Linked DNA regions of Ovis aries. The main gene of each other region encodes a partner of the protein of the gene in region 2 in a complex. Links are inferred from orthologs where the notes say so. Each region holds a gene or a part of one and is shown on either strand. Other genes may lie near its edges.

The links. The genes of interacting proteins can lie anywhere in the genome.
Region 1: the proteins of MDC1 (region 2) and PELI1 are in contact, whole or in part, in a crystal structure (PDB 9IF9), measured with the Homo sapiens proteins. The link is inferred for Ovis aries from reciprocal best matches to the Homo sapiens genes MDC1 and PELI1. Residues at the interface, in NP_055456.2 of Homo sapiens: Glu761, Asp762, Ser763, Glu764, Thr765, Gln766, Pro767, Phe768, Asp769; in NP_065702.2 of Homo sapiens: Arg104, Ser105, Thr106, Glu107, Thr115, Asp116, Val130, Gln131, Ser132, Thr133, Ile134, Ser135, Arg136, Phe137, Thr185, Asn186, Thr221, Arg222, Ser223, Ala224, Cys247.

What each region holds. Positions count from the first base shown.
Region 1 is NC_056056.1:44,196,103-44,200,928, forward strand, and holds part of PELI1 (E3 ubiquitin-protein ligase pellino homolog 1), read left to right. Parts: intron 1-4,012; coding exon 4,013-4,114; intron 4,115-4,826. UniProt on the Homo sapiens protein: E3 ubiquitin ligase catalyzing the covalent attachment of ubiquitin moieties onto substrate proteins. Involved in the TLR and IL-1 signaling pathways via interaction with the complex containing IRAK kinases and TRAF6.
Region 2 is NC_056073.1:27,419,139-27,424,586, forward strand, and holds the start of MDC1 (mediator of DNA damage checkpoint protein 1), read left to right. Parts: upstream 1-2,098; 5' UTR 2,099-2,437; coding exon 2,438-2,479; intron 2,480-3,982; coding exon 3,983-4,124; intron 4,125-4,490; coding exon 4,491-4,871; intron 4,872-4,956; coding exon 4,957-5,026; intron 5,027-5,316; coding exon 5,317-5,448. UniProt on the Homo sapiens protein: Histone reader protein required for checkpoint-mediated cell cycle arrest in response to DNA damage within both the S phase and G2/M phases of the cell cycle.

The sequences.
Region 1 (4,826 bases), on a different chromosome or scaffold from region 2:
GCCTGGCTTAGGGAATTTTGAACATTACTTTATTAGCGTGTGAGATGGGTGCAATTAAGAGGCTCAAATATGTCTTTATATTAATCAAAATAGGAACTGTTACAATCAACACATTTTTGCCAATGAGAAGTAATTTTGTTTATTCTTGTAGTATAAAACTCTGTGCTTCAGGATTCCATGAACTCTTGGAAAGCATTTTCTGCCGCCTCCTGGTTGTAGAAGTGTTTTCCCTGCAAAAAGTTGTCAAGATGCTTGAAGAAGTGGTAGTTGGTTGGCAAGAGAGTCAGTGAATATGGTGAATGAGACAAAACTCCATAGCCCAATTCATTTAATTGTTGAAGCATTGATTGTGCAGTGTGTGGCCGGGCATTGTCATGGAGCAGAATTGGGCCCTTGCTGTTGACCATTGCCGGCTACAGGTGTTGCAGTTTTGGGTGCATCTGATTGATTTGCTGAACATGTTTCTCAGATGTAACGGTTCACCAGGATTCCGAAAGCTATAGTGGATCATATGGGCAGCAGGCCACCAAACAGTGACCATGACATTTTTTTGGTGCAAGTTTGGCTTTGAGAAGGGCTCTGGAGCTTCTCAGTCCAACCACTGAGTTGATCATTGCCAGTTGTATAAAATCCACTTTTCGTCACATGTCACAATCCGGTTGAAAAATGGTTTGTTGTTGTGTAGAATAAGAGAGGATGTCACTTCAAAATGATTTTTTTGATTTGCAGTCAGCTCATTAGGCACCCACTTACCAAGATTTTTTACCTTTCTAATTTGCTTCAAATGCCAAATGACCGTAGAATGGTCGACGTTGAATTCTTTGGCAATTTCTTGTGTAGTTATAAGAGGATCCGCTTCAGTGATGCTTTCAGTTGGTCACTGTCAACTTCTGATAGCCAGCCACCACACTCGTCATCTTCAAGGCGCTTGTCTCCTTTGCAAAACTTCTTGAACCACCACTGCACTGTACGTTCACTAGCAGTTCCTGGGCCAGATGCATTATTGATGTTACAAGTTGTCTCTGCTACGTTATGACCCGTTTTGAACTCGAATAAAAAAATTGCCCAAATTTGCTTTATATCTAGCATCATTTCTGTAGTCTAAAATAAATATAAACAAGTAATAAGTCATTAGCAAAAAAAATAAAGTGAGAAATGCACATTAAAATGATGTATAATAACATAGCCACATTTATTTAGGAATTTATTCCAGTATTAAAGGCAGAGTTCAACAATGCAGAACAGCCATTACTTTTGCACCAACCTAATATTCTTGGTCCCTTCCCACTGAATGCCATTTCAGCCCTCAAATCATTGTGATGGCCAGCAAACACAGCCGGCAAACGCCCCTTACACAGCTGACACTACCTCTGGTTAAGAACTACTATCCTAGGGAAATCTTTCTAAGCCTTGCTTCTGTAATTTCCTGTTGTGTACGTCTCTTCATGTTTTTACTGTCATACTTCTCATGTTTCATTGCTGGCTCCTTTGCATCTTTACTAGGCAGCAGGAATCTTAGGGATCAAAAATTGACTTTCTGCTTTTTCAGTTTTGGAGGAGTGTATAATGAGGTCAGGGAGAAAACTAACTGTTTAGTCTAGCAGTCATCTGGGATGAGTGCTTAAACCCTGACTTCCAATCCAGTGAGAATTTAACTTGACACAGCTCTGTATTCTCAATCTGAGTAGATCTCATAGTTTAAAAAAACACAGTTTATAATCTCAAAGTATACAAAACCTGTGTTTTTAAATCCCTTTAGCCTTTAAGAATTAATGGCCAAAGTACTAAAAAATTATTTCATTGAAAAGTCAGCTGCTTAATGTTGAGATAAAGTAATTATAGATTTTTAAATCTTTAAAACCATTTTGTCATGTTTATGAGTGCATCAATGTGTGGTAAAGCCTGCATATAAAGCCTGTTAAAGTGCATGGGAGTGACGTTAACTGTACTCTTGAGGTTCAGTTCCTCTACAGAGACAGGAGTAGGGAAGGACATATAAGCAGCCTTCATTATATCTGCAGTTTAATTTCTTTTAAAATATCAGAAGCAGAAATGGTATTAGTAAGAATGATAAAAGTTGGGTAGTTAGTACCCAGGTATTTATATATTCTTTTTGTATATTTGAAAATTTCACAGTCTTAATTATCTTAAAACTATGAAGACTTTATCATTACAGGTTAGCTACCAATTGAAACCAAGTAAAATTTCATAATACCAAAGTTCTAATTACGAAAGTGTTTTTTTGTTTTCATTTAGCCTCTTTGCTGCATATAATCATTCTTCTGTGTCTTTCTCTGTTTCTTTTACACAGCCTGTTTCCACTTCCTCTGTGCAGGTTTTTCCCCCTCTGATATTATCATCAACTCATATGCATAGAAAACGCCCGAAAACAAAACTGAGAAGTTCTTTTTAACAATGTTTTTAGTTTGGCATATGTCAAAAGTACAGTCATAAGCATTATATCCATTTCCTTTGGTATGTTTAATCATTCTATGAATTTTTCTGTATCTAGCCTAGCATATGGCAAATACTTGTCATCTATAGAGTCACAGAGTGGCTAGAAAAACCAGTTAACTTTGCTTATTTGTTAACTTTAAGCCTCTTTGAGTTATTAAATAAGATTCTTAAATAAATAATCTTGTCTTGCAAGATTTTGTGTTTTCTCCTTATCAGAGCAGTACTGAGTACTGCTTTCATTTTCTATCTGGGATTTGATTTTTAAGTATCTTATAACTTGAAATACTTATAATGGAGACTCAGATTTTACAATTTTTTTATACAGTGAACTTATGTTTTTACTCTGTAATTGCTTCAGTGCACAGATAGACCTCAGATATATTTTGGGATCAGTTTCAGACCACCACAATAAAGCAAATCACAACTGGTTTCATTTCCTAATATATATATAAAAGTTATGTTTGCACCATGCTGTGGTCCCCTAAGTGTGCAGGCTTCCCTGGTGGCTCAGAGAGTGAAGAATCCACCTGGTAAATAACCACCTCCATTTAGGAGACCTGGGTTCAATCCATGGGTCAGGAAGATCCCCAGAAGAAGGGAATGGCAACCCACTCCAGTATTCTTGCCTGGAGAACCCCAGGGATAGAGGACCAGGCGGGCTACAGTCCATCAGTCACAAAGAGTCGGATATGACTGAGTGACTGAGAACTAAGTGTTCAGTAATAGCATCATGAAAGTTACTCAGTTGTGTCCAACTCTTGCGACCTCATCGACTGTAGCCTACTAGGCTCCCCTCTCCATGGACTTTCCCACCATTGAGCCACCAGGAAAGCCCTTAATTTTAAAGTACTTTTAACGCTAAATGCTAACCATCATCTGACAATGCAGAGTTGCCACAAATCTTCAGTTTATAAAAAATTCAGTTATCTGTGAAGCATAATAAAATGAGGTCTGCCTAAATTCTTCTGTACTCCACTCACTCTAAGAAACCACTGTCACAGCAAAGGTTATGCAAGTTATTAATCTCTAAATTTCAGGGGGAAAATATGTCATACATGTAATAAATAGATCATTGTTTTTTAAAGAAAGAATAAAAACCTCTATTTTTCTTATTCTCAATTGATCAAACATTTTATTCAAAGTAGCAGCAGTGATGTCCTTGATTATGTATTAACATATATATTTTTATACGTCTGTGTATGGTTGAAATGAATACCAGCAGTGACATAAGAGATGTTTTGTTTTGTAATTATAAAATAGTTGACTTACCCTTGAAGCAATATAGTGGTATTTTTTTTTTAACTTTTGTTTTATGTTGGAGTACATATACTCCAATACAATGTATTAGTGTTGGGTGTGCAACAGGGTGATTCAGTTATACATTTATATGTATCTCTTCTTTCTCAAATTCTTTTTCCAATTACATTGTTATAGTATAATGAGCACAGCTCCCTCTCTTTTTTTTTTGAAAAAAAGGTTATCTTTTATCTATTATGGTTATCTATTTAGATTGATGTACCTGCTAATTTCTGCTATTAATCTTTTTTTTTCTTAGGCAATAAGCAATAAGGACCAGCATAGCATATCATACACCTTGTCTCGAGCACAGACAGTAGTGGTTGAATATACTCATGACAGCAACACTGATATGTTTCAGGTATTATAACATCTAAACTTTTTTTCTTAAAAAACAAAAAAAGGTTAAAAACCTGTTGTAATTGACTTTCGCTGTGGTCAGCTTAAAGGTTATCACACTTAATGCATTTCATTAAAATATATTTTGATTTCTAAACCCCATGTATAAAAGTCCACATAGCATGGGTAAGAGATGGGCTCTGATATCAGAATTTCTGGTAAACATTACTTAGCCACTCTCTGCATCAGTTTCCTCCTATAAAGTGAGATAATAGAACTTCCTTCAGATGACTATTAGGAAGCTTAAATGTGTTAGTCCCTCTGAAGTATTCAGAACTGTGCCAGGTACCTGGTAAACACTTAGCTACTAGTATTGGTAGCTGTAAAAATTACTATTATCTATTATTATCCAAAAAAGAAACCAAGGGATATTTTATACACATTTATGATCTTTTTTGCTGTTACTTCTCACTTTCCTCTCTAGGCAACTAAAAGTACAGTTTCTAATTATTCATATCATATACGTGAAGTTAAACTTTCTTCTCAGCACATATTTGGTCAAAGCTAATGGTATAGTAAGTTTTTATTTCTCTCATTCTTTGTACCAATCCAGTACTGATGATTTTATAAATCAGTGATAGAAAAGCCAAACCTTAAAGACATAAGCAAGATTCTTGATATTCATGACATCGTCTCTCAATATTGGGTTTTTGTAAAGCCTTGGGCTTTTTTGA
Region 2 (5,448 bases):
GCACCCTGATCTGCTATCTAACAGCTGGTCCCTGGTGACCCAACTGGCATGAACTCCAGTGAGCTCCGGCTCCCCCAGATATCTCGGGAAGGAGGAGGGCATTGCCTTCCTGCTATTTCCTTGGGAGCTTTCTAACGATAATATTTAGAAAGAAACAAAATTGCATCAAGGACTTTTCAGTATAAAAAGTAATTGTTTGGAAGGTATGTTCAAGAATAGAGAAGCAGATATGCCGGAAGTCTCCGTCCATGTGGGGAATCTGCGCCTTAGAGCAGCGTTTAACACAGTTTTGTCAAGAGGCGAACTGTGGGGTGAGATACCTGATAGGCACTTTGATGAAGTCAGTGTTTTTTCAACTCGCTGATTTCACTGAGAGGTGGTTGACCATTGCAATCTTTCAAGAACCTCGGGATTAAAATAAAAGTAGGGAGGGTGATGGGAAAAAAATGGATGAGCTCAAATCTGAGTGGCATGTTTCTTCTCAGGGATTAATTCAACTTGAGCGATATTAAATGTCCACCAAAGGAGCTAGGATGAAGGATTAGCTCACTGGTGGCTCAGGCGGTAAAGCGTCTGCCTACAATGTGGGAGACCCGGGTTCGATCCTTGGGTTGGGAAGATCCTCTGGAGAAGGAAATGGCAACCCACTCCAGTACTCTTGCCTGGAAAATCCCATGGACGGAGGAGCCTGGTAGGCTACAATCTATGGGGTCGCAAAGAGGACACGACTGAGCGACTTCACCTTCACCTTACCTCACTGTCCTCCAGGATCTTGCAATTTGGTGAGAAGTGTATAACCACTAGTGTGGTAAGCACCATGATTAAAGGACATGGGATATCAGGCTCCGTATGTGCTCAGTCATGTACGACTCTTTGCGACCCCATGGACTGCAGCCCGCCTGGCTCCTCTGTCCATGGGATTTCCCAGGCAAGAATACTGGAGCTGGTTGCCATTTCCTTCTCCGCGGAATCTTTCCGACCCAGGGATCGAACTCGTTTCTCCTGCGTCTCCTGAATTGGCAAGAGAGCTGTTTACCTATGAGGCACTTGGTTAGATGATAGCAAGGTGTTAATTCACACTGGATTCAACACACATTTCTCATCTTCTAAATAAAAGAACATAAATTTCTGTAAAACTCGTCTACCCAGTTAAAATGTTTATGTTTGAAGGCACAATCACAGTGAAAGTAGTTATTTTGTGGTAGTGAAGAGAGTTCAGAATTCACGATTAAACAGTTTCAGTTTGTCTCTAACAGCCGTAGGAGCCTAGGCAAGCTAACTTCCGCAGAACTCTTATTTCTGGTCAGAACGAAGTGAGAATACTAATGCAAAAGGTCCTCCTAAATTATTCCTGTGAAATTGTCTTAGTATGAAATTTAGCAAAATAATTTACCATTCTGTAGCCCTTCAAAGACCTCGGTCAGCCTTTAAGATGGTTAACAAAAGAGTTCTCTCCGTTTGCCTAGATATCTTTACTCTAGGATAATGACCTCAAAGTGTCCATCAGGAATGGATTCTCAGGGAGGAAATGACATGACTTCTAGATGAGCTAAATCAAAAGGAAATGAACTTCCATTGTAGTGAGTCCTCAAGCGCCACGCCTACGGGCTATTCTCCAGACTGAAGTCTTCAGCCACGACTGCAGCCCGCAACCCTTATATTTCTCATGAGTCAGCGGACACCATTTCTGGGAGGACCAGAGAAGGCGCTCTGGCCGCACTACATGCTTAGGTCGACGACTGTGGTAAGCCCCTCTATCCGCTGCTGGCATCCAGACTCTGTGGTCGCAACTTGGAAATATACGCGGGAAGTGGGTGGTGAAACCGCAGTGGGTTGTCCCTTTGGAGCTGCCCAATCGAAGTGCGCTATTCTGTGCGCCTCCGAGGCTTCCGATTACCGCCTCGTCCAACGGATCTGTCTCCCCGGAGAAGCCGCCCCTTTGAGCCGTAAGGGGGCGGGGCGGGGCGGGGGCGGGGCTCCGGCTATGCCTCCGCGTTGGATTGCTCCGTCTGCTTGCCGCAGGGCCGAGAAAGACAAAGGCTTCAGCCAATCAGCTAATCAGCCCCTTCCCCGCTCAGGCACTGGCACCACCCCTGTCGCAGCCGTTACTGGTGGCGCGCGCGGGGACTCAAAGTAGGTGAGTTCTGGGGGGCCTCGCCCACGACTCCCCGGATGCCATCTTGGTTCTCCCGGAGGGCGGGAGGGGCGTGCCTTGGTTACGACTGGGCGGAGGATTCTTGGAAATTTGCTTCTCGGATTATAACCCTCATCTTCACTTGACGGCCCTCCCTGAGTTTAGGTATGAAGACACTGGGAGAGGTTGGGCTCAGAGGGAACCCTTGGGATCGAGATCAAAGTTGAAGGCCCATTGGATTGGAGCCGAAGGTCGTGGGCGCCGCTCATTTCGCCTTCATGAAACGATGTTAACACTTTCTCCATGGAGGTGTCCCACTTTCCTTGTCTACATTTTCCCTTTAAGGTAGCATCTTTCAAATTTAATTCCCACCCATACTAGTTTGACTTTTCATCTTATTATTTCATCAGGAGAGCAGAGTTAATTTTACGTTTGACTCATGAATGTATTCGAAATATCTCTAATGGTATCAGGTACACAGTAACTACTGTTGAATTAACATGATGGACCCTTGGGGAAAAGACAGTTCTAACTGGTCCAGTTCTCAAGGGGGATGTGTGAGGCAGAAATGGAATGTAATAGTTACACTATGGTGAGACCTATTAGGATAATATAAGTCCACCAACCACCGTGAAACACTTAGGATACATGGGAAATAGGGGAAAGTACCAGAACACAGAGAAGACTAAAGGCAAGGCTTTGCTTCGAAAGTGACATTTGAGCTAAAAGGATGGATAGGAGTTGGATCACAACACTAGGGGCAACGTCCTAAGGAGCTGGCTAAGGCCTGCAGATGTGAGAGAACGAGGACAGTGTGTTCAGAGATTAAGGAGAAGGTCCATGTTGTAGAACCACAGGCTTGGACGGGGTGGGGATGGGACACACATTTCAGGAGATGAGGTTCTGATCGTTGAGGGTCTTGCTAAGGAGTTTAGATATATTTTATCCTATGGGTATGGAAAACCATCAAAGAATATTAAACAGGAAGAGACATTATCTGAGTGAAAGATACTCAGTCTTATCTGACTCTACAGTCCCTGGAATTCTCCAGGCCACAGTACTGGAGTGTGTAGCCTTTCTCTTCTCCAGGGGATCTTCCCAACCCAGGGGTTGAACCCAGGTCTCCCGCATTGCAGGGAGATTCTTCACCAGCTGAGCCACAAGGGAAGCCCCATTATCTGAGTGATCTTAGACAAATCTGTTACTCCATCCCTGTTGCAGTTTCTTTATCTGAGAAATAGAAAGTAAAATAAGGAGTTTTCTGGCAGTCCAGTGGTTAGGACTCCGTGCTTCCACTACAGGGGCAAGGGATCAATCCCTGGTTAGGGAACTAAGATCCCACATGCTGTGTGGCCTTAGTTGGGGCATGTGGGCTATAGTTCTCTAACCCGGCGTTGCACCCTGGCCCCCTGCATTGGGAGCACAGAGTCTTAGCCACTGGACCGCCAGAGAAGTCTCTCAACTCAGTTTTTGTTTGTTTGTTTTGTTGGTGTTCTGTGGGTGGTTTTTTTTTTTTTTTTTTTTTGGTTTTTTGGCCATGCAGGATCTTAGTTCCCTGACCAAGGATGGAACCTGCACCCCCCAGCAGTGGAAGTGCAGAGTCTTAGCCACTGGACAACCAGGGAAGACCCTTATATTTCTGTACTTGGAACTCTGTTACATTTCTTTCTTATTCTGTGTCATGGTCAGAGATATTTCTTAAATGCTTCAGAGGAATAACAACAGAATGATTGGCAGAAAGAGAAGCATCAGCCTCCATAGCTATCCAGGAGACTGCAGTAACCAGTCTCCTCCCTGAGGCTGTGTGTGTGAGCCACTGAAGGAAGGGATAATGTGTTTTTTTCTCAGATCATGGAAGACACCCAGATTTTAAACTGGGAAGTTGAAGAAGAGGAGGAGGTTGCAGAGAGCCCCAATGAATCTCTGGGGTATAGCTTGGAGCCCCTAGCACAGCTGCATATCTTCAGTAGTTCCTATGGACCAGAAAAAGGTCAGGAGTAATTTCATGCTAAAGTACTGGCCTCTTATTTCTGTGGGGAGGTAATAGGATGATTGCAAGCTTAGATATGCATTTGTGAGATCTGGAAAAAATGTCTTACTGGGGACATTATTATTTGGGAAGCCCAAATTTTATATATATTTTACCACAATAGAAACAATCCAGTGTAGATGGATGGAATGTTGACTATGAATAATGCATTGCACATATTCTTTATTAGCTAGTTATTCTAGGGCCTTTTATTTTTCTAATGCATGAGGGGGACCTTGAGTGAGTCGTGGGGAACTTAACAGATGTTTTTCTTAATAGCAAGTTAGGAGTATGGCTTTGGAACTCACCTACCTCTCTAATTCTTAGACTTCCCACTCTACCTTGGAAAGAACATGATAGGCCGAATGCCTGATTGCTCTGTGGCCCTGCCCTTTTCATCAATATCCAAACAACATGCAGTGATTGAAATCTCTGCCTGGGACAAGGCGCCTGTCCTTCGGGATTGCGGGAGCCTCAATGGCACTCAAATCCTGCGGCCTCCTAAGGTCCTGAGCCCTGGGGTGAGTCATCGTTTGCGGGACCGGGAGTTGATTCTCTTTGCTGACTTGCCCTGCCAGTACCATCGCTTGGATGTCCCCCGGCCTTTTGTCTCCCGGGGCCCTCTAAGTGTAGAGGAGACACCCAGGGTACAGGGAGGAACTCAACCCTCCAGGCTTCTGTTGGCTGAGGACTCAGAGGAAGAAGTAGGTAAGTTTGTGTATCAGGAGGGTGGGTGAGGAGACAGGGACGGTGAGTGTAAAACTCTCCACTTACTCATTTCTACTCATGACAGATTCCCTTTTGGACAAGTGTGTGGTGAAAGGACCAAGGACCTCCTCTTCGGCAACAGTCGTTCCAGAGAGGTGAGTGTCAAAGGGCCAGGCATCTGAGTCTTCAGATGGATGAGGAAGCAGGGGCTGGAGGAGCCATCTCTGGGAGAGCTAATTACCATCAAAGTCTGGGCTGGGGAACCACACATACTCCTTCACTCAACTGAATTTTTACTGAGCGTCTCATGTGCCAACTAGAGAATTAATTGTTGGAGACAGAACAGCAAGTACTACCTTGCGTCTGCTCTCAAGGAGTTCCTACTTGAGTGGAATATCCCTTCTGGGGCAATCGATTCTATAGGTTTCTTCTCTTCCCTTCACAGTGATGAAGAAGGGCCTTCCCCTGCCCCAGATGGGCCCGGGCCACCTTCTGCCTTCAACTTGAACAGCGACACGGATGAGGAAGAAAGTCAGGAATCAGGAGCAGGGGAGGCCTCTTCAGCTGCCAGAAGAGG